3 linked regions of the Rhinolophus ferrumequinum genome follow. The protein of the gene in region 1 binds, or shares a complex with, the protein of each later gene. Links are inferred from orthologs where the notes say so. Each region holds a gene or a part of one and is shown in the gene's direction. Other genes may lie near its edges.

The links. Proteins that work in one complex are often made in the same cells at the same time.
Region 2: the proteins of GABARAP (region 1) and STX17 are in contact, whole or in part, in a crystal structure (PDB 7BV4), measured with the Homo sapiens proteins. The link is inferred for Rhinolophus ferrumequinum from reciprocal best matches to the Homo sapiens genes GABARAP and STX17. Residues at the interface, in NP_009209.1 of Homo sapiens: Tyr5, His9, Lys13, Glu17, Lys20, Ile21, Arg28, Pro30, Lys46, Lys47, Lys48, Tyr49, Leu50, Pro52, Leu55, Gln59, Phe60, Phe62, Leu63, Lys66, Arg67, Phe104; in NP_060389.2 of Homo sapiens: Ala169, Glu170, Ser171, Trp172, Glu173, Thr174, Leu175, Glu176, Asp178, Leu179, Glu181, Leu182.
Region 3: the proteins of GABARAP (region 1) and kelch repeat and BTB domain-containing protein 6 are in contact, whole or in part, in a crystal structure (PDB 4XC2), measured with the Homo sapiens proteins. The link is inferred for Rhinolophus ferrumequinum from reciprocal best matches to the Homo sapiens genes GABARAP and KBTBD6. Residues at the interface, in NP_009209.1 of Homo sapiens: Tyr5, Glu8, His9, Glu17, Ile21, Tyr25, Arg28, Pro30, Val31, Ile32, Leu44, Asp45, Lys46, Lys47, Lys48, Tyr49, Leu50, Val51, Pro52, Leu55, Leu63, Arg67, Phe104; in NP_690867.3 of Homo sapiens: Ser663, Asp664, Asp665, Asp666, Phe667, Trp668, Val669, Arg670, Val671, Ala672, Pro673.

What each region holds. Positions count from the first base shown.
Region 1 is NC_046304.1:11,589,998-11,597,583, forward strand, and holds GABARAP (gamma-aminobutyric acid receptor-associated protein), read left to right. Parts: upstream 1-4,994; 5' UTR 4,995-5,131; coding exon 5,132-5,221; intron 5,222-5,778; coding exon 5,779-5,857; intron 5,858-5,997; coding exon 5,998-6,116; intron 6,117-6,580; coding exon 6,581-6,646; 3' UTR 6,647-6,657; exon of another isoform or gene 6,658-6,701; 3' UTR 6,702-7,072; downstream 7,073-7,586. Other genes in the region: CTDNEP1 (CTD nuclear envelope phosphatase 1), read left to right, coding at 1,003-1,069, 1,167-1,285, 1,490-1,561, 1,978-2,094, 2,332-2,443, 2,856-2,940, 3,239-3,299. UniProt on the Homo sapiens protein: Ubiquitin-like modifier that plays a role in intracellular transport of GABA(A) receptors and its interaction with the cytoskeleton.
Region 2 is NC_046295.1:55,881,958-55,889,859, forward strand, and holds the start of STX17 (syntaxin-17), read left to right. Parts: upstream 1-4,887; 5' UTR 4,888-4,969; intron 4,970-7,902. UniProt on the Homo sapiens protein: SNAREs, soluble N-ethylmaleimide-sensitive factor-attachment protein receptors, are essential proteins for fusion of cellular membranes.
Region 3 is NC_046287.1:8,915,156-8,922,823, forward strand, and holds the start of kelch repeat and BTB domain-containing protein 6, read left to right. Parts: upstream 1-4,653; 5' UTR 4,654-4,921; coding exon 4,922-6,931; 3' UTR 6,932-7,668. UniProt on the Homo sapiens protein: As part of the CUL3(KBTBD6/7) E3 ubiquitin ligase complex functions as a substrate adapter for the RAC1 guanine exchange factor (GEF) TIAM1, mediating its 'Lys-48' ubiquitination and proteasomal degradation.

The sequences.
Region 1 (7,586 bases):
TCTGGGGAAGGCTCTAGGGATGGACTGAAAAGCATTGGTGCCTTCAAAGGAAAGAGCAGAGGAGGGAATTACCAGGGTTTGCATGGGGGAGATCCGAATATTAGAAATAGGAGCCTCTAGAGAAGGCTTGGAGAAGCTGGAAGGCTGAGGGGTGATGTCCTTGTCCTTTCACTTCTCACTCACAGCCCTTACTTCACTGTGGCCTTCTCCACACACCCTGTCAGTCAGCTTGGCAGATGGGGCTTTCCAGCGTTCTCTGCCTTGCCCTAGGTACCAGGAAAAGGAGGCTGTTGAAAGGGCTGAGGTTCTTTGCAACTTGTGACTTGGCTCTTAGAGACAGAAATGGACAGGTGGCTGGTTAAAATAGGCCTGGTGGCCCCCAGCCAGAGGAACTTAGCTGACCTGACAACCCCTGGATTGCTTCAACCTCTCTTCCCCTTAGGGACCCAAGGACCTCCCCTCTTGACTCCTGTTCCTACTACACTAAGGAAGCTCAGTTTCTAGCGGGAGGTGATGGGAGTTGTCATGAAGAATCCTTAGGGGGGAGGTGGGGAGGGCTGTGCATTTCTTTGTTCAGTATAGCAGGATAATACGGTTAAGAGGGCGAGCTCTTATGTCAGACTGCGTGGATACAATCCTGGCTGCACCACTTCATAGATTCTAAGATGAACTGACCACCCCTGCTACAGTGTTCTAGGAATTCAGCCATGATAGAGACAAAAATCCATGCTCTCGTGGAGTTTGCATTCTAACTGTGGGGACAGACAACTAAATAAGATAATTTCTAGCTGTGTGGCCTTAGGCAAGGTATTTAACCTCTCTAAGCCTCAGTTTATCGTTAAAACAGAGATGATATTATTGTTGTTGTTTTGAGAAATAAATGAAATAATCCTGAATCATGTACACGGTACCCAACATATAGTAAATATTCAACATGTGCTACCTATTGTTACTAGGGAAGATTTCCTTGTCAAGGGTTCTAATTCTCTCTCTTGTTCTTAGGTAATTCAGTACCAAACTGTTCGATATGATATCCTTCCCTTATCTCCTGTGTCCCGGAATCGGCTAGGTATGTGTGCTGGCTGAGAAGACTCCTCTAATGTGAGGTAGGAGTCAAGGTCTGGGCTGGAGGTTGGTTGATGTTTTCCCTTCCTGTTGTGGTTCAGGCCAGGTGAAGAGGAAGATCCTGGTGCTGGATCTGGATGAGACACTTATTCACTCCCATCATGATGGGGTCCTGAGGCCCACAGTCCGGCCTGGAACACCTCCTGATTTCATCCTTAAGGTGTGTGGGGATGGAATGGAATGGTTATGGCTGTTATTCGTCTTAGGCTGGACTCCCTTTCCCAATCCCAGAATGTCTCATCTCCATCCCCATCCTCTGGCACCAGTGTCAGCCTGAAGGAGGGAAGCAGGCAATGGGAGGGTGTCCTTTAGGCCATGTCCTGGTGCTCAGTACTTCCCCTAGCCCTTCCCTATTCCTCTACAGGTGGTAATAGACAAACATCCTGTCCGGTTTTTTGTACATAAGAGGCCCCATGTGGATTTCTTCTTAGAAGTGGTGAGTTTGCGAAAGCCAAAGGGAGCTCTGTTATGAAGGAATGGTTTTAGGGTTCTGGGAATTTAGAGAATTTGGAGGAAGTAAGGGGTGAGGAGAAATGGATAAGGGCAATTTTGAAGAGGGGAGGCTGTGGGATGGTTGGAGAATGGCTTTCACTAGTTCGGGTTCATTTGTTTTGCTGATGTAATTCTTTTCTTCCACAGGCTTCCTGTTCTTTTGTTCTTGCATCTCTGAATCTTAAGGGTGTATGGTGCCTAAGACTTGAGTTTGGGGGCGTTCACAATTTTGTGTCCTTAGAGATAATTTGATATTGCTGAAAGTCCTGAAGGACAAGGCTGCAGTCCTGGTGAATGGGAACTGTGTATCTAAAGGATGATCACCTCTTCTGACACCTCCCTTTCCCCTGTCTATTTCAGGTGAGCCAGTGGTACGAGCTGGTAGTATTCACAGCAAGCATGGAGATTTATGGCTCTGCTGTGGCAGATAAACTGGACAATAGCAGAAGCATTCTCAAGAGGAGATACTACAGACAGGTAAGGGGCTAGAATCCAGGTCTAAGAGTGAAGCTCCAGAGGCAGACCACCAGGGAGTGATTTGAGTTGGAAGCAATTGCCCTGAAATGGGACCTTCTAGTCGTATGTGTGTGGGCGGTGGTATACTGCATGATCCCCTTTGTGGGAATTGGCTGCCCAAGGCGTTGTTGGGATGGGGGGGAGGACAGTCACAGAGAGCGAGTTTCCTTTTGATGCCCAGCTTACCCTGCCTTCCAGCACTGCACTTTGGAATTGGGCAGCTACATCAAGGACCTCTCTGTGGTCCACAGTGACCTCTCCAGCATTGTGATCCTGGATAACTCCCCGGGGGCTTACAGGAGCCATCCAGGTATGGGGGAAGGTGGTGAGTCTGGCAGGACCAGGAAGTGGTTCTGAGGAGGTATTTTGAATACGTGGAGTTGTGATGCCTGGTTTACTGTAGGTCAGGATGCAAGTTGTTTCTCTTCTAAGTGAGACGTTCCCCTCTCTCCCACATGATCATTTCATAAATCAGATTTCTTAAAAGCAGGTGAGACACAATGACAATAAGTTTGACCAGAGGCCTCACACTAGTATGATATGTGGTGATCGAAATTTAATTTTATTTTGGAGGATAAATCAAGAAGGTTTTTACTTAGATTATTGAGTTTGGGTGGAAGGTATATATTTGAAAGTAATGATCCTTACTCCCAAATAAAAGAAAAAAACACCCTGTCTCTTTTGAATCCTTTGTTCTCATGTGCATTTTTCACTCAACTTAGACAATGCCATCCCCATCAAATCCTGGTTCAGTGACCCCAGCGACACCGCCCTTCTCAACCTGCTTCCAATGCTGGATGCCCTCAGGTAAGGGAAGCTAGACACTTAGATTTCTGAGGAAAGGAGGAGGTGGGGGAATCCCAAGAGGAAAAAAAAAAGTTTGACCTGTTTTACTTACTTATCTCTCTTCCCTAAGAATTTAGCATTTGAGCCCAGGTCTTAGACTAAAGCTCATCACTTTTAGCCGTTGGGTTTTGGGCAAACTGAACATCATCTGAAAATGGTGATCATTTCTGCCCCACATCTCCAGTGAGGCTGCCTCACACTAGTGTTGTGGGGATATTAACTATAAGGACTCTACCAATGCAAGTTATTGTCATCCCAGGTTCACCGCTGATGTTCGTTCTGTGCTGAGCCGAAACCTTCACCAACATAGGCTCTGGTGACAGCTGCTCCCCCTCCACCTGAGTTGGGGTGGGGGGGAAAGGGAGGGTGAGCCCTCAGGATGCCGTCTGATGCCCTGTCCAATGGTGAGGACTGCCTGGGCAGGGTCTGCCCCTCCCTCCCCTCTCTGCCCTGGGAGCCCTGCACTCTGTATGGAGTCTGGATGGACACATGGGCTAGATTCTGAAGCAGCCTCACTCTAACTTCGTGTTCAAACTCCTTGGAAACCCCAGACTGGGACATAAGCAGAGGCCTAGGAGAGCCGAAACTGTGTCTGTGGTGGAGAGACAGGACTGGCCAGAGTGAGAGACAGACATTCGGTAATCCAGGAGGCTCAGAGAGAAGCCAAGCCAGCTTTGTTGTGATTTGATTTTTTTAAAACTCTTGTATAAAACTGATCTAATTCTTTACTCCAAGGGCTGGGCTGTGGGTGGGAAACTGGGATTTGGGCCACTGGATTTTCCCCAAACTTGTCCTCCCTTTACTTTTCCCTCTGTTTTCCCTTTTTCCTAGATTTCCTCAGACCTGTAACCAGTTTTTTTTTTTTTTTTTTTTTCTCTTTTTTTCTTTCCTCTCTTTTAAACCATGCATTATAACTTGGAAACCAAAGCTGCCCTAGGTCCTTCTCTGGGGTTTGGGTAAATGAAGGGGAGGGGTCTTTGTTCACATCCATCCTGCCCTCTAGGCAGAGGGGAGAGACTGCTGTTGGGCCCAAGGGGTAAGGGGAAAATGTGGTGTTGGGTTGTCTGATGAAGTAGTGAACATTGACATCAGATGATTTGGCGGGAAGTGAAGGGTCAGCGCCCTGGCTGGGAGCGAAAAGTACAGCTATATGTCTGGAGAAGACTCGAGCTCCAGAGCAAGACACAGAAATATGAAAGGAGAAGCCTGAATGCCAGAAAAGGCATATAGCTGGAGAGAGGCTGGGCTGGGGGGACTGACGTAGACAAGCTAAGTGGGCGCCGCCCGCAGGTAGCTTGTGCCACAGGCCGTCCACTCCCCGGTCAGGTTAACCTCCCTCCCGCCTCCGGCTCCCCGCGCCCTCCTCCCCGAAGCCGGCTCTACTTCCTTGTAGCTGCCACGTGATGCTCCGCCCTTCTCTGAGATCACATGATTTCGTTGATACAAATACTAGTGGTGTTCTTCCGCGCTGACGTAGTCCCAAACGTTTCGGACCTTTACATTCCCTCTTGGTCCACTCATTCCTGGTACTTATGCTTTCTGTGCATCTCTCTAAACATATATTTCGTTTCTGCGCTCCTGTATTTCCGAAGGCCACCTCCTCCATTTGGGTACTATTTTGTTTTGGTGTCAACGGCCGTCTTTAGCGTACCAGCACATTTCTTGAATAGCTATCCTTGTAATTCTCTGCTTTTTCCTTTACGTTATGTCCGAAAAGAATTTTTGATGAATAAGTCTCAAGTTATGATTACTATCTCCTAGCTTCTTTTCACCCCTAGCTTCGTGGGGGAAGGTCGGGAAACGGGTTTTCAGTTATTTTTGACGGTAGCAAAAGCCAACCACCTTTGCTACGTCGCCTGCGTAACCCACAAGTTGATTCCGAAGCTATTACGCTGACGGCGTGGCGGGGGCAGGGGGGTGGTCAGTAGGTGGTGCTAAGTTAGCGGCGTCAGGGCTGCTGCGCTAGTGGCGTAATGTAGCAGGCAGGGCGGCCCCTGATGGGCGGGGGCGGGGTTGGTGAATAGGGAAGTGGCGCAAGTCCTGGGATCGCTCCGCTGAATCCGCCCGCGCGTCGCCGCCGTCGCCGCCTCCCCCAGTCCCGGCCCCCCCGGGTTCCCTCAGCCCAGCCTTGTCCAGCCCGGTTCCCGGGAGGATGAAGTTCGTGTATAAAGAGGAGCATCCGTTCGAGAAGCGCCGCTCTGAGGGCGAGAAGATCCGAAAGAAATACCCGGACCGGGTCCCGGTGAGGACCGTAGCCAGGGCCGAGGGCGCGGGGCGCTGGCGCTGGTGCTGGCGCTGACGCCACAGCCTGGGCTTGGGTCGGGGACGGGCAGTTTGGGTATCAAGCTTCCTGCTGTGGCAGGGTTGGGAACGAACCTGAAACTGCTGTCTCTGGGACCGGAGGTGAAAGGAGTGGGGTAGCGGTGGTAGCTGGGGGTGAGGGGGTGTAGATGGGAGAGATAGACCTTGAGATTCGTGTGGGAGGCTGTAGGGAGTTTGACAGTCTGAATGTCACATGGTCATTCCCCCGAGTTCTTGAGATTGAAGCTGTAGTCGCCCCAGACAAGTCATTCCCGTCTAATGAAGGTAATTATTTATTATGACAGGGACCTGGATGATTAGGTGAGTTGAGTCAGTGGGGTTAGAATCTCTACTCAGGTCTGCACCGCGTGTTCATAGACAAAGAATTGAGTCTGGGGTAGGTCTGCGTGCTAGAAATACTGTTGCTTGAGTTCCTGACAGGTGGAGCTGTGGGACGCTATACCTACTGTCTCCTAATTTTCATCTTCCCTTTATCAGGTGATAGTAGAAAAGGCTCCCAAAGCTCGGATAGGAGACCTTGACAAAAAGAAATACCTGGTGCCTTCTGATCTCACAGGTGGGAACCTGACCCAATACTCAAGTTTGCTTCCTGTGGGTGTGAGTGCAATCTCTGTGGGAGGAGGCTCCACATAGCAGCTGTTCTTTTGAGGGCTTTTGTGCTATCTGTGACTTTATCACACCTTGTATCTTTGGCAGTTGGTCAGTTCTACTTCTTGATCCGGAAGCGAATTCATCTCCGAGCTGAGGATGCCTTGTTTTTCTTTGTCAACAATGTCATTCCACCCACCAGTGCCACGATGGGTCAGCTATACCAGGTACGGGGACTGGGACGTAATGGAGGCTTTGGAGAGGAGGTGGAAGAGCGTGAGAGGAAGCAAGTTTTACGTCGGTAGTTCTTGGACTAGCTGGCTTGCTGAGCTCTCAATTTTATCTTTGGCCTGAAACTTTGTGGATAGTCCTGAGTTGGGGGTTTGGGCAGGCAGTGGGAGTAGAGAGAAGGGAGAGAACAGTGAGCTGGAGCAAGTATTCTAATTCTGACTCTCCCTAGTCCCTCCCCACAGCAGCAGAGAACAGTTGAAGATCTTTTTTGCCCAGGGCTGCTTCTAGGGATAATCCGACTAGACTACTAGGGCTTGGAGCAAGTGATGAAGAGAATCAAGGCACTGGTTTTGGGAGTTTTCAAAAAGAATGGTTTTTAAAGCATGTGTTTGGGTGGCAGGTGGTTTAGGTAACTAAAGCTCAGATGTCTGAGCAGCATCATTTTCTGTTTTCACTCCAGGAACACCATGAAGAAGACTTCTTTCTATACATTGCGTACAGTGACGAAAGTGTCTATGGTCTGTGAAACTGCTGCCCCTGCAGTGGGGGGGTCCCATTCTACAAAGAGAGAGGTGGCCCCCCTTCCTTGACCACCTCCTCCTTCAGGCTCAAACACCACCTCCCTTCAGGACCTGCACTTCCTAATGTTTGAGGCTCTTTTCCCAGACCCTCTTAGCAGGAGGGTTAATGGGTGGAGATGGCCTCTAGTACCTCTCCTTCCTCCTTTCTTCCCCTTTCTATACCACTTTCCCACTCTGCTTTAGACTTCTTGATTGTCAATCTCTGTCACATCCAGTGATTGTTTTGGTTTCTGTTCCCTTTCTAACTGCTCAAGGGGCTCAGAACCCCAACAATCCTTTCCTTTCACTACCTTTTTTTGGGGTAGATGGAAGGGACTGAAATTGTGGGGGGAAGGTAGGAGGCACATTAATAAAGAGGAAACCAAGCTGAACTGGATTTTGCTTTGTATTCCTTCCCTCCCCCTTTTGTTTTTTAGTCATCGGTGGTGGGAAAGAGGTTGGAGGGATGGTCATATATTTCAGTTTATTCTGTTGATGTTGGGGTAGCTTTTCCTTGTGCATAAAAAGGGTGCTTTTATTGTGATGGATGAGATACTCTGAGTTGTTTCTTGAAACTTTAGCTTTATCTACATGTGTATTGGGTCCTTATGGAAAGAATAACTTTTTTATTGTGGGTTCCTGTGGAGAAAGTTTGATAGTACCTGCTTTAGATATACACATCCAAGTTTATTACAACCTTTTGGATTAAGGAAGTTTTCGCGTGTGGAGGCTGCTAAAAGGACTCTGTCTTCAGATGTATGTCACCTGGCCAGACTTTGTGCCAGAATATGGGATCCAGTGGAGGGGAATCCAAGGGAGGGAGAAGACTGGGACGAGGGAACCATTATCACCAGGAAAACTTCATCTTCCAGCAACCACTTCTCCGTTTGGCCGGAAGTGGGGCGG
Region 2 (7,902 bases), on another chromosome or scaffold:
TCACGGAGCAGGTGTTTGTGGACAACTAGCAACAAGATGGAATCAAAGTATCCCAAGCTGAAGAGTTGCTAGGTGCCCAAAGAGGCCTCAGAGTACCCTGGTGTGATCTCCACGTTCCCAGGGCTACACCTGGGAACCTGATTTAACAGCATGGTAAGAGTGGATTTCTTTCTCCCTCTCTCTCTCTCACTCTACTTTCTCTCTCTCAGGTGGAAACCCACTAATACACCCTGATGTATAAAAAGTTTGTTTATTAACTTATAACTAGGGACTTGGATCCTCTGATAAGTATATTACTCATCTATAGATAGATCTACACAAAAAGCCAAAATATTATCAAAAGTCTGCTGCACACAAGCATAGACTCAGAAGAAAGGGAATTAGAACATGAGTCCAGTATTTAATAGTATTAGATTTGCTATAGCCCAATGCACTTGTCTCCATAAGGAACAAGACAGATTACATCCCTCACTGTGTCTTTATCTGGACTTGATCTAATAGCTTTACTAGATCTGATATTTTATATTCAATTTCAACTTAATTTCCATTGTCTTCTGGTGCAAATGGAAGTATACTAGGAACTCAAAAGGGTTAGACAAACCACAACAGTAGAGAACCATGGCTCAAGATGTATGAGGAGGAAGAATGTCCTTAATTATTCTGCATGACTTTCAATCTCTAAACTCAGATATACTCTATCCCATAATATACAAGAAACACAAACACTGCTGATTGTCTTCTGAGGCATTATGAGACATCATAGAGGTGAGAAGAAACAAGCGTATGTTCTGATTTTTCTAAATAGAGAAATGATTTGAGCCTGAAAGGACAGAAAAAGAAGTAAGTCTAACATAAACCTCTGAAACGTTTAGACAGATTGTTTGTTGGGCATCGAAAAGAAAGCAGCGATCCTGAGGAAGCAACACGAGTTTACTACAAAGGCATCAGCCATTCAACCAGTTCATCAGTTATACTGTAGGCTGGATTATTACCAGACATATTTATGTATTAGTTTATCAGATTTAAGATCAAACTCAAATATAAATCATAAAATCAACTGGATGGTAGTTAATTTTCTATGCCCCAAACCAGTGAACGCAGCAGCAATAATGTGTTCTTCGGAAGTCTGGGTGAAACTATAGTGAGCTGATCTGACCAATACCCACTCCACCTCCTGTAGTAACCCTGAAGGCAACTTTTCAGTTCTGATAATATTGCCTTTACTGCAAACATATCTAAATTCTGCTTTCAGAATTCCATTCTGAAGTTTACTTTCTTTCGTTACTGGTTGAAAGTCACTGTCCTTTGAAGAATTTTTTAATTTTTTAGAAACAGTCAAGTCTATTAAAAACAAGAAAAAAAGATGAACTCTGATCACCTAGTCAATTGAATGAGAGGGTGGGGAAGTAAGGAAGGCAAAGATTAAGGGTCTACACATAAACCAAGGAAACAGATTTAGTTGAGGGTCTTATAAATTGGCCCTAAAAGCAATCTCTAAACAGGGATTTTTCTAATGGAGGAAAATGTCCTTACTACTTTTGAATTTTTACAGATTATCTTGCTTTCAAATGTTTAAAAATGCAAGTTTAAAATGATAAGGGAGATTGAATATAGGAAGACATACAGACTTTTCTATATCTTCCTTTCTTCTGACTTAGCAATGTGATCCGAGCATTACCAATATCTTTTAGTAATAGAACAGGTTTCATTCCACTTTAAATGCATTTATATATATATGATTTTTAAAAATCGGGATAACAGATTTTATCTTCTAATGTTCTGATAGGGTACAAATCTTAGCTCTTTTATTTAAACTTAAATAGAATTTTTAAAACACATAGGAACAAAGATTTAGATAGTTTTAAGTTTGTATCTTCTCTTAAATTCTTTTGAAAACAAAATTCAAACTTTAACTCTAAATGCAAAAATATTCAGTTACCAATAGATTCACATTATATTCAAATGTTATCTTATACATGACTTGAACCAAATTTTAAAAGTTAGAAGATCAAAAGTAGTACCAGAAAGAAATGAATGTAATGTTACTTTTCCAGTATGCCTCATCCATGCAAATTTTCCCAGGGGACATTTCAAATACTCTATATCAGAAGTTAATTGAATAAGAAGTAAAAAAAAGAAAAAGAAAAAAAAAAGAAATGATCTTTACTTATAATTTAACCTTATTTCAGGAGGAATAAAGATGATTTACAAAACTCCATATAATTCAATAAGATATTTTATAAGCAAGTATTAAAGGAAGTATTAAAAAGAAAACAAATGTGGGAGAAGTAAGCCAGGGCTGACGTAAGTATTCACATTCATGCTGTGAAGTCCCATGTACTTGTTAAATTTGACTTAGGCATTCTAACAACCATTGAAAAGAAGGACATAATCAAGTCCCTGATTCATAAAGTTTAAAAAATAAAGTCTATTTAGAGGGGGGAGACATTCTAGGTTCTGAAGTCTGAGGGTAGAAAAGCTCAATCACTCACCTGCTAACTTAAAATATTTCCTGGTGGTACACTGAGGTGGTTTAAAGTGGAATTACATAATTGGTCAGGAGTACCTAAAGTACAACTCAGACCATTTCACTCCTCTGCTCTAAAAAGTTCTCCATTCCCTATAAATTTTTTGTTCTGCCATTTGAGGCCATCCTTAAAACCAAATTGAGGTGAGCTCCCTGAAGGCAGACAGCATTTCTTATTCAACATTGTGTTGCCAGCATTGTCACAGACCTTTGTGATAGAATAGGTGATAACCGACGCTCAAAGATGTTATATTACACAGAAGGATTCTCCATCAGCCAAGAAAATCTGTGGAACTTTCTCCAGCCCTCATCTCTCTACCTGTACGGTTTTCCCCTGACAACTCTACCTGTTGAATGGTTACCAGTATCTTCAAAGTCCATAATAAGGATGATAACGTCTCCATCACCAAAAATAACTACAATAACATCACTTTGTATTTGTATGGTGCTCTATGGTTGACACAAAACTTGTAATCTATTCTCACAACCAGCTTGCTTTGTGGGCCAAACAGTGATCGTGACCCTGCTCTACCATGCAGAAGACATCTTTCTTGAAGAAGGTACCTCCTTATTAAGTGGTAAATGTCATTTCCTCCTGATTTCCATAACGGGATGTGGTTTCTTCCTCTCCTTTAAACCCTTGTGGCATTTGGTTTATACATCTCTTGTGACTAGTAACTACATACATTTTATATAGTGCTACAGTTTACAAAAACACTTTCTCATGCTAAGTTCCTATTTCTTTTTCATTCCCACAACATTGTTTAAAGAAAAAAATAATCTTCTCCTTACCTTGAGGACCCTGCTGCTCTCTCCACACTCTCTAAAAATATACTCAGATTACACCACCCACAACTACTACCACACTCATTTTATCATCCTCCAAGAACAACAGAAACTAACTTCTAGGTCCCTACTCTCTGCCAGGTGCTGCTGGGATAATTTTTTATAGATACCACTATGTCAATTTAGCTCTTCTTTGCTCGTAGATTGTTAAATTTGATTTCCCTTCAACAAAACCCCACACCAACCAAATTCTAGAAATATGTACTTTCTTCCTCTGTGTATACTTTAAGTAATAAGGCCAAAGTGTAGTGATGCTGAGGAGAAACTGACACCCTTTCTGAAACTCTGCGGCACTGACACACTTAGGGACCGATTCTGGCTGGAGTGCACCACAATAGTGTAACACATCAGGTGAATCAGAGATGTGTTGACAAAAGCTGCCAGTTAGGGAAATTTCTGATGATGACATCATCAGGTAGGAAAAGACTCCAGCAGAGGTATTCTGATGATGAAGCTCTTCGTTCCTCACTTTGGCTCAAAGTGACAGCTTCAAGCCAGAAGAAGGCTGGGAACAGAACCAAGATAAAGGCCACTACCAGGAATCTCCTGGGTCTGAGGACAGAAAAAAATCCGTGTGTCAAGATGTGGCATTACACAATTCCAGGGGATACTCTTCACATGGAATACAATATGCATGGTATTCTTGGAGTTGTGCAAGAAGGGGTCCTCCCCTCTGTGTCTGGCTCTTTCCCTCCATTCCACTGACTGAGCGCCATAGGGGACATCCATGTTGGAGACCCTCAAGGGAACCGGACACTCTCAGGCTTTCATAACTCATTTGACGATTTAGTGTTTGGTGTTTTTATTTCAGTTCATTTAATGGCTGTCACTTCCTGTTAAAGATACCCGCATAGGTGTGGGGCACAATGGGATTCTCCAGGCATACTGAATGGGAATGTGAAGACCAGGGCCAGGCCCGAGGGGTGACTCCTCTCACAGCGTAACTCTGACTCCTGTGGCAAAGATTTCCCCAGAAAAAGTCAACTTTACCTGGCATGTGTGGCCTCCATTCTTTTAGCTATGTTTTCCTGAGGAAAGCCTCATCTTTTGAGAACAGTGAATTAGAAATTATTCTAATTCCTATCTGGGGCCTGGTGACTATTCCCACCTGCCCTTTCGGACTGTGGTTCTCAAAACTGACTGCACTTTAGAATTACCTAGAGAACCTTAAAAAAATACTTTGATGCCTGGTTTCTATTTCAATTAAACCAGGATCTCTGAAGGTGAGGACTAGGCAACTATATTTTTTAAAAGGTCCCCAAGTGGCTTCGTTGTGCCATCAGCGTTGCGAATCTATGCCTCTGGTGGTGTTCTTATTCCTCCTCTGATCTCACCCTCAGTGACAAACTGAGCTTCAGAAGGTTTGCCCAGCTGGAGCAACTCAGTTGTGAAACTAGAGAAGGGACCAATGAGATCACAAAGGTGATGAGACAACATGTCATTCAAAAGAGATATTTATCAAGCTCCACATTCCAGGCCATGGGCTGGGAACACACAATAAATAACACAAGTTGCCTGTGCCCTCAACAAGTTTCTGCTCTAGTTGGAAAAAACAGATATGTGAAGGACTGCACTGCAGAGCAAAATTAAATTGAGGTACGTGGGAGCACAGGCTGGGGAAATAAGGAAAGGTATGGGGGGACAGAAGGGATTTGAGATGGGTCTTCAGGGAAAAATAAAATTTTGATCAATGAAAAGGAGGCAAAAAGCATTCCATAGAGAGGCATAGCTTGAGCAAAGGCATAGGAGTAAGGAAGTGGATGGGATGGTAGGAAGTTATAGGAACCTGGTGGAACTTCAAAAAATGGTGGGCTATGATGCTGTAAATTTAAATGAAAACTTGGAGAGCCTCAGAAGCCCCCGTGAGGAATAGATAGGTGTATGAGTCTGCATGACACGTGTCTTAGATGGAGTGGGCCACAACAAAGGTTTAAAACTCAATAGTGCATAACCAGATCTGAAACAAATGGGAACATGATCAACATGAACTTGGATAAATGCATCTGAGGTAGTTACTCATCCTGCGCTCTGGCAACCTGTTCTCTGCTGAATGCCCACTACTTTTAGGAATCTGAACGCACCTCTGTTGCATTCTTTGTGCTGTTTACATATGTTCTCTGTTCAGAATGCTCTTTCCTCCCTTCTTTGACGACTCCTATCTATTGGTCAAACTCTGAAATCACCTTCTCTGTGCCTCTTTCTATACAGCACTTCTGCAGGGATAGCTAATAATAGTGCTTGTAAAATGTATTTATTGAGATGTCTGTCTTTCCTTCCACATTGTGAGTCCCTAGAGGACAGGAATGGGATCTTTTTAAACTTTCAATCACCAGGACTCAGCACAGTGGCTGGCATGTTGCAGTGTAGACTTACTGGCTGAATGGGAAAGCATCTACCAGATGTTGGAAAGATTCAAACTTAGCAATTATGTCCTTTAATGTTTGAGCATAGGGATTTAGAAAAAAAATTTCCATATTTAAAGCCATTTGCTCAGGCTTGAAACATTTCTCTTCTGATGTGTTTACTTATCTTAAAAAAGTGACAGTTGTTGAACCTATCAATTTATTTCCATATAGCAAGCAATAGTTCTTTCTTTGGTAATAATCTGCCAAAGAAATATTAAAGTTAATATGCCTTTGGCTAGTGGAAACATAAGTATCACTCAAAAAGCACCTACAATCCAGTGAGGCCTACAGAAAGGAAAAAAATCCCCTTGGGGGTATGACAATGGAATTTGGGGGTTTGATGGGCTGAGAAGAGGGAGGTTGGGGCTCATTGTGAATTCTGTTGATTTCCAATTCCTGAAATACATTTCATTAGTTGGGGGATTAAAAGGTTTACTGGTGAGAGTGTTAGTTGTCAAAGGATTGAGGGCAGATTCTACAATCCTATAAAAGAGAGTTCCGGCAGCTTCTTCAACAGAAATCTAGAAAGATTTGGTATCTTGGAAATCATTTTGCTCTATTGCTATACTTTTTTAGCTCTTCTATAACAATCCTGCTGCCCTTGGAAAAAATGGTAACTTTCATGAACTTAATTTTTGCACTGTTGCTCTCATATCCTATTTGCAAGGCACTCTGACATTTCTCCTTGAAGTTCTATTGGTTTTTGCCTCACATATTTTGAAGCTCTGTTGTTAGGCTCATACACATTAAGGATAGTTATGTCTTCTTGGATAATTTAACCCCTTTATTATTATGCAATGTGCCCCTCTTTATCCCTGACAATTTTCCTGTTCTGAAGTCTGCTTTGTCTGAAATTAATATAGCTACTCCCACTTTCTTTTGATTAGTATTAATTAGCATGGTATATCTTTCTCCATCCCCCACCCCATTTTTTTAAGGAGGGCGCAGCTCACAGTGGCTCATGTGGGGATCAAACCGGCAACCTTGGTGTTATCAGCACCATGCTTTAACCAACTGAGCTAACCAGCCATCCTGAGTGCCTTCACTTTTAAAGGATAATTTTGCTGGATATTAAATTCCAAGTTTGTGTTTTGTTGTTGTTGTTGTTGTTTTTACCAACACTTTAAATATTTCACTCCGCTCTCTTCTTGTTTGCATGGTTTCTGATGTAATTTTCATCTTTCTTCCTCTATAGGAAAGGTGATGCTTTTCCTCTTGCTTCTTTCAAGATTTTCTCATTGTCTTCGGGTCTTTTTAGTTTGAATACGATATAGCTAGGTGTAGATTTTTGGGCATTTCTCTTGTGTGGTTTCTTCTGAGCTTCCTGCATCTGTGGTTTGGTGTCTGTCATTAACTTTGGAAAATTCTTGGCCATTATTACTTACAATATTTCTTCCATTCCATTCTCTTTCTCCTCTCCTTCTGGTGTTCCAATTATGTATATGTTACATCTTTTGAAATTGTGCCAGTTCTTACATATTCTGTTCTGATTTTTTTTCTTCATTTTTTTCCCCTTTGCATTTTAATTTGGAAATTTTCTATTGATATATCTTCAAGCTCACTGATTTTTTCCTTGGGACCATGTCCAGTTTACTGACAAGTCCATCAAAAGCATTCCTCATCTTCATTACAATGTTTTTCATTCCTGGCATTTCCTTCTGATTTTTTTCTTAAGAGTTTCCACCTCTCTGGTTACATTACCCAACTGTTCTTGCACATTCTCAACTTTTTTCATTAGACCCCTGAGCATATCATTCATAGTTATTTTAAATTCTTTGACTGATAATTACAAAATCTTTGCCATATCTGAGTCTGGTTTTGATCCTTGCTTTGTCTCTGTAGACTATTACTTTTCTTGCCTGTTAATAGGCCTTGTAATTTTTGTTGAAAACCAAATATAATATATCTGGTAGTGAAAACTGAGGTGATTAAGCATTTAAGGTAAGGTTTTACATTAATCTGTTTAGGAGCTGGATTGTGTTTCATGTTTGCGGTACCAGTAGGTATCAGAGGCTTCCATTTCCTCTAGCGTCTTTGTTGTCTTTGGATTTCTCCCAAAACTCCTTCTTATATAGAGATTGGACCTTGCAACTCTTTCAGCTGTAAGCCATTATTTTACTGGAG
Region 3 (7,668 bases), on another chromosome or scaffold:
CTAAGCTCCTTATGTGCAAAACCAGCAAGACTTGGGGCCGGTTGAATCCCTGAGAGTTTGGCTAGTTTGAATTTCAGAGCATTGTTGGCCTGTTTTATTTTTCCAGAGGATTAAGGGTGGTAAAGATAGTAACATTTTAGACTATGAAGTGAATTCCTCTATCACAAGTGAGGAACAAAGGGATCCCCACATGAGGAAAATTCTGGTAGCAACTTATCTACAGTTGAGGCAGTAGCCTGTTTGCAGAGAAAAGCTTCTAACCATCCTGGAAACAAGAATGTGCGTATCCTTTTTGTGTGTGTGTGTATAAAAGGGGGAGAGGGAAGTGAGTACTTGGAGAGTCCACAAGCAGGAGAAGAGGACACAGAGGTTTTCAGATTGAAATGCAGACATGGAGGGCGAGTCCCAATTAGGGTGATCTGCGTGGTTTCTTAGTCCTGGCCTATAAGGCAGAGCAATAGTGAAAAAGCTAGGGATCCAGTTCCAAGAAGAGCCAAATAATCCCAGAAACCATCAGAATTGTCTTTCAGTCTCAGGAAATGGATAATTGGTGACGGTGTTAATACATTTAGGGGACAAAGTCTTCTCTTCAATAGTGATAGCATGTCCTAGATAATTCTCTTGAGGGGGCCAAATAATTGCATTTTGTTTTTAGAAACTGTATGTCCATTGTGCACAGAAGCTTGGAGCAAATGAGTTGTCATAATCAGGTGAGCAGAGAAGGTCACCTGCATATTAGATAAGGAAAGAGTTGCAGGGAAAGGTTAAATTGCTCAGGTTTGCATTTAGGTAACCTGAGGTAACTATTTAACGAGGTAACCTGAGTTTAACTATTTTATTGCTTGCAAACGTTGGACTAGCCAATATTCCTTGCCATTTGGATTCTTTACTGTGGGGGGAGAGGCCAGAGTATTACAGGATGTGTCAATCAGGCCTTGAATCATAGGTTGAAAAGTTTGGAGGGCTTCTAATTTTAAATATGTTATGGAAATCTTGGGAGTGCCATGGAAGGGTCTAGTTCTACTTCGAGAGTTTTGGCCTCCCAGGTTTGGCTTATGTCAGTGGAATGAGCAGCCCAGAGGGAGTCAGGTGTTTTAGTTAACATAGTTTGTACTTTAGTGTTCGGGGTGCTTTCCAGGCGCAAGAAAAGTCTGTTGGTTAATGAGAATCATGAAAGGGCAAACACACATAGGTGTGGAAGCAGGGGCTTCCAGGGTGAGGCACTTGGGAGAGCAAAAAATATTGATATCCTACTGGAGAGTAAATCTCTGCCCAGAAAGACGACTTGGACGGAGGAGCTAAGCAGAAAGCTATGCTGTGTAATGAGAAGTATCAGTGAGGCAAAGAGAGAGTTAGAGAAAGGCAAGTCGTGTGGTAGATTAAGTCCCACGGCAGGTATCGTATGTGTACTCCAAGGGAAGGAAATAAAAGGTATTTGTATTAGTTTTCAAGGGCCGACATGGTACTTTGTTCCATACTGCAGATGTGGTGGCTTCAACAAAAGAAACTTATAATCCCACACTTGTGGAGGCAAGAAGTCCAAGATCAAGATGTTAGCTCCTTCCAAAGACTCTGAGGGAAAGCTCTGTTCTAGGTCTTTCTCCTTGGCTTGCAGATGTCCATCTTCTCTCTCTGTCTCTCCACATCATCTCCCTTTTATGCATGTCCTAATTTCCCCCATTTGTAAGGACACTAGTCATATTGGATTAGGGCCCACCCTCATGAACTCACTGTAAACTTGGTTGCCTCTGTAAAAACCCTGTCTTCAAATAAGGTCACACTTTTAATTACTAGGGTTTTGGACTTCAATATATGAATTCTGGAGGAATAATTGTGTTAATGGTGAAATTGTTGCCCTTGTGTCCACCAGGATGGTGGCGGGATATCCATTGATGGCAATGATTATTACCCCTTGCACATTAAGAGTTAGTTTTTCACCAAAAAAGGAGAGTGTCTCCGAGGAAAGTCCTAAATGATGGTTTTTTAGTCTTTTTTTTTTTAGATTTTTTTTTAACTTAAAAAACAAAATTTATTTAAGTGTGTTTTTTCAGGACCCATCAGGTCCAGGCCAAGTAGTTGTGATCGAACCTTGTTGTTAAGAGCACTGCACTCTAACCAACTGAGCTAACAGCCTGCCCTGGTTTTTAGTCTCTTGTTCACTTTTGCATTTTGAGACCAGTTAATACCAAGGCTTACGTGCCTTTTCAGTATCTGTAATAATCTCAGTTTTGGAGGGAGCAGATTATCCCGGCATGTTTCCTTCAAATTAAGTTGTAGTCTTCAGTTTGCATTGTTTTGATTTGGCCTTTTCTGCAACAGAGTCCTTGTGATGTTCACCTAATGTACGTATTTCAGAGAGAGAGAGAAAGATCACCTCACTAATTTCTAATATGTTTTGAATAATATCTGTAATTTCTGGTCATAGCCTTAATGAAGCTAGCGACCAAGGTGGAAAGGTTTCAGTCATTTAGAGTGACACCAGAGTAGTCCTTCCGAACATTTTCTAAACTATGTCCATAGTTAAAGACAGATTGATCTCTTTGTATTTTGTAATCTCCTATCTTTGACCAATCAGTTTTTGAAGGAAGACAGTGGGAATGAATTCTAAAAGTGGTTTTAGCCTGTATGTAAGCCTTGGGGGTGTTCTGATTTATTTCATTGATTGTTTGCTTGAACAGTGGCCCATTTGGCTTTTCAAACAATAAAGTGGCATCTCTGGGACCCACTAGTGGTAGCACAAGTTGTTATAAATCATGGGTCCCAAGAGACTATGTCCTGAGGATCGGTATGAATTGATAACTAGATTCTTCCCTATTTTTATGGTGGTCCAGAAAAACTTTAAATAATAACATGTAATAAAAACTTTAATAATAACATGTAAATCTGAGCCAGATTAAGGATTAAAGAATATTTGCTTAGGGGTCCTGCCTGAGACTATGGACTCATGATAAAAGAGACAGTCGTTAAGAGACTGTACAGTTTGAAATAGACTGGAGACATTTTATTTTTCAGCCTCCTCATACCAACCAAAATAAGCTGACCATTGGTGAGCCAAGATCTTAGCATCCCAAGATTTGAGGGCACCTTGTAGATAGACAGGCTTAGGGAAATTCCAAGTGAACCAAAGGGGGCTATTGGAGTTGTAAGTTGTCTTTAGTAAAATCCTGCCATTTTTGGAGGTAACGATCTGAATTTTCACCTTAGTGGTGAAGCATATAATTGGTGGGAATTTTGAACAGCATTGAATAGTGGATTGAGAGTTTCCCATAATACTAAGGTTAAACAACAGCTAGCAACAAAACCAAACCTAGAGATGGCTGGAGGCAGTTCCTTACAAAACAAAACATAGTCTTATCTAGCATCCAGCAATCACACTCCTTGATATTTACCGAAATGAGTTAAAAACTTATGTCCATGAAGAAAACCAACACATTTTATAGCAGGTTTATTCACTATTTCAGAAATTCAAAGGAAATAAAAATATTATTCAGTAGCTGAATGGATAAGTAAACTGGTATATCCATACAATGGAATAATAATAAATATAATAATAATAAAAGAAATGGCTATCAAGCCATGAAAAGACATAGAGAACTGAAATGAATATTGCTAAGTGAAAGAAGATATCTTAAAAGGGTACACATTGTATGATTCCAACTATATGACATTCTGGAAAAGGTAAAACTATATAGTCAGTAAGAAGAGCACTGGTTCCCAGTGAGTGGGGAGGAGGAAACATAAAACAGATTGAACACAGAGGATTTTCAGGGCAGTGAAACTATCCCGTATGATACTGTAATGGTAGATACATGATATTATATGTATTTTTTTCAGAACCCATAGAACTGTAGAACACAAAGAGTGAATGAACCCTAATATAAATATTTTAACATATATCACTATGAGTTTATCACTTGTAATAACTACGTATACTAACGCAAGCTGTTCACAGGAGAAAATATGAGGGGGTGGACTATATGGGAGTTCCTTGTAACTTTCTGCTAAATTTTCCAGTAAACCTAAAACTATTCTTAACAATAAAATCTATTATTTTAAGAAAATCAAAACTTAAAGGCATCTCTGCAGAAACCTGCAGGGTTTAAATTTTTTTCCTACAGGCTCATGATTTTAAATGAGTGGGTACTTCATTTTTCATAAATGCTAGAAGAAAAGCTAAAACTTAGTGAACCTTTAGATTATAGATACTGAGTAAGTACTTTATTGTTTTACTAATAAATGCGTATGTATTCAGAAAATAATATATATCCTATGCAATTTATCTCATTTAATTGTCACATAACGCTATGAAATACTATTGTTATTCACATTTTTTAAAAACACAGGAGACAGTTCTAGTATTTATCAATTGTTTACCAAAAACAATTGATAAATACTAGAACGGGCATCTAATCTGGATTCCTAACCGAAAATTCTACCGTAACACCAAATTGGAGATAATTAGCGATTTCTAATTCGGTCAGCTGAAACAACGGCCGAGAAATCTCGCGATACTATTGAAACTACTACTCCCACCATGCAAAGCGGCTTGTGCCTATCTGCCTATGTCCGTGGATCGGGCGGCCCGGCATGCCTCGAGGCGCGAAAGGCTACCTGGGCACCGTAGTTCTCCTGGACACATAGCGGTATCGCCAGCGCTGGTGGCCGCAGCGCTCTCGGTTCTCCCGGGTCCAGAGAGGGTGAACCGAGACAGAGAAAGGGCGCGGAACGGGAAGAAGGTGAGTCTGCACGGTGTATGCGATAAAGGGAGGTGGCACCGCGGCACAAGGTTGAATTAGGTAAATGGACTCGTGCTGCTATCTCTCCGGAGATACCGTTATCTTTGGGCTGGCGAGAGTCCGGTGAGGAGCCATAGCCTGGTCCTTACACCAGTTCTCACCTCAGCACCGCGGCCATCTCCACCATGCAGTCTCGGGAAGACGCTCCGCGCTCTCGCCGCCTCTCCAGTCCCCGTGGTGGGAGGCGGCCCAAAAGGATTCACAAGCCCACGGTTTCAGCTTTTTTCGCGGGCCCTGAGGAGCTGAAGGACACGGCCCATTCTGCAGCCCTGCTGGCACAGCTCAAGTCCTTCTACGACGCGCGGCTGCTGTGTGATGTGACCATCGAGGTGGTGACGCCTGGCAGTGGGCCTGGCACGGGCCGCCTCTTCCCCTGCAACCGTAACGTGCTGGCTGCCGCGTGTCCCTACTTCAAGAGCATGTTCACCGGCGGCATGTACGAGAGCCAGCAGGCAAACGTGACCATGCACGATGTGGATGCCGAGTCCTTCGAGGTGTTGGTCGAATACTGCTACACGGGTCGCGTGTCGCTAAGCGAGTCCAACGTGCAGCGCCTTTATGCAGCCTCGGACATGTTACAGCTCGAGTACGTGCGGGAAGCCTGTGCCTCCTTCCTAGCCCGCCGCCTTGACCTGGCCAACTGCACCGCCATTCTCAAGTTCGCCGACGCCTTCGACCATCACAGGCTGCGCTCACAGGCCCAGTCCTTCATCGCCCACAACTTCAAGCAGCTCAGCCGGATGGGTTCGATTCGGGAGGAGACCCTGGCAGATCTGACTTTGGCCCAGCTGCTGGCCGTGCTGCGCCTGGATAGTTTAAACATCGAGAGTGAGCAAACGGTGTGTCACGTGGCGGTGCAGTGGTTGGAAGCGGCTCCCAAGGAGCGGGGTCCCAGCGCTGCGGAAGTCTTCAAGTGTGTCCGCTGGACACACTTCACTGATGAAGATCAGGATTACCTGGAAGCGCTGCTAACCAAGCCCATTGTGAAGAAGTACTGTCTGGACCTTATTGAAGGGGCCCTGCAGATGCGATATGGTGACATACTGTACAAGTCTCTGGTGCCAAAGCCAGAGTGCAGCAGCAGCTCTGTTGTTTCTGCAGCAGAAAATCCACCCCAGAGGCTGGGTGTGTGTGCCAAGGAGATGGTGATATTCTTTGGACATCCCAGAGATCCCTTTCTCTGCTGTGACCCCTACTCCGGCAATATTTACAAAGTGCCGTCACCTTTGACCTGCCTTGCTCACACTAGGACTGTTACCACCTTAGCTGTCTGCGTCTCTCCAGACCATGACATCTATCTAGCTGCCCAGCCCAGGAAAGACCTCTGGGTGTATAAACCAGCCCAGAACAGTTGGCAGCAACTTGCAGATCGCTTGCTCTGCCGTGAGGGCATGGATGTGGCATACCTTAATGGGTACATTTACATCTTGGGTGGGCGAGACCCTATTACTGGAGTTAAATTGAAGGAAGTGGAATGCTACAGTGTTCAGAGAAACCAGTGGGCACTGGTGGCTCCACTACCCCATTCTTTTATCTCCTTTGACTTAATGGTAATTCAGAACTATCTTTATGCTCTCAACAGCAAGCGCATGTTCTGCTATGACCCTAGCCACAACATGTGGCTGAAGTGTGTTTCTCTTAAGCGCCATGACTTTCAGGAAGCCTGTGTCTTCAATGACGAGATCTACTGTATCTGTGACATCCCGGTCATGAAGGTCTACAATCCAGTCCGAGCAGAATGGAGGCAGATTAATAATATCCCTTTGGTGTCAGAGACCAGCAACTATCGGATCATCACTCATGACGAAAAATTGTTGCTGATCACCTCTCGCACCCCACAGTGGAAAAAAAACCGGGTGACTGTGTATGAATATGACATTAGTGGGGACCAGTGGATTAATATAGGTACCACATTAGGCCTCTTCCAATTTGATTCTAACTTTTTTTGCCTCTCAGCTCGTGTTTATCCTTCCTGCCTTGAACCTGGTCAGAGTTTCCTCACTGAGGAAGAAGAGATACCGAGTGAATCTAGTACTGAATGGGATTTGGGTGGATTCAGTGAGCTGGATTCTGAGTCAGGAAGTTCAAGTTCTTTATCTGATGATGATTTGTGGGTACAAGTAGCACCTCAGTGAAATACACAGGATCAGCAGGGTTTGTTGTACATAGGTTGAAACATTAAGGTGGTTTCACTGCTTTGGAAAGTATCTTAAAGAAATACCTGTTCCCTTTACTGTAGGAAAAGACAGTTGGTTGATTTCAGGTTTGGTTTAGAAAGGGTTTTGTTTGAACTAATGTAATTTAATGTTAGAGAATTTGAGCACTCCAAAAACAACCTATTTAATAATTTACTGTTCTAAAAGTCTAGTATTGATTTGTTCAGTATGTTTGTTAGATTATGCTGATTTAGTTTTCTACTGTTAAATCTTACATTCTGTTTAGTGCCACAAATACAGTAACTTGAATTTTAATTTTCATAATAGAAAACTTATTGGATAGGAATTACTAGATAGGGTTTTGAAAGTATATTTTTCTTCAGAACAGTGTAGTAGATTTCCAAAACTTTAGTGGGTTTTAACAAAGTGTGTTCTAACTTAAATACAGTTTGCTAAGTTTTAGTTTAGTTTTCTCCCTTTTTGAGAAGGAAAAAAAATGCATATATGTTTAATGTGACTGAATGTTGATTTCATTTGAAATACTGTTCAGAATGGTCGTAAACTCACTGGTAATAATAATAATAATAATAATAATAATAAACAGGAGTCTACTGTTTGAAAGGAAATTTCAGTTTTAAATTTGTAATATAAAATGTGTATTTGCAGATAGTGACCAATTTTCCATCTGGAAAATATTCCATTCTAGCAGTGCCACC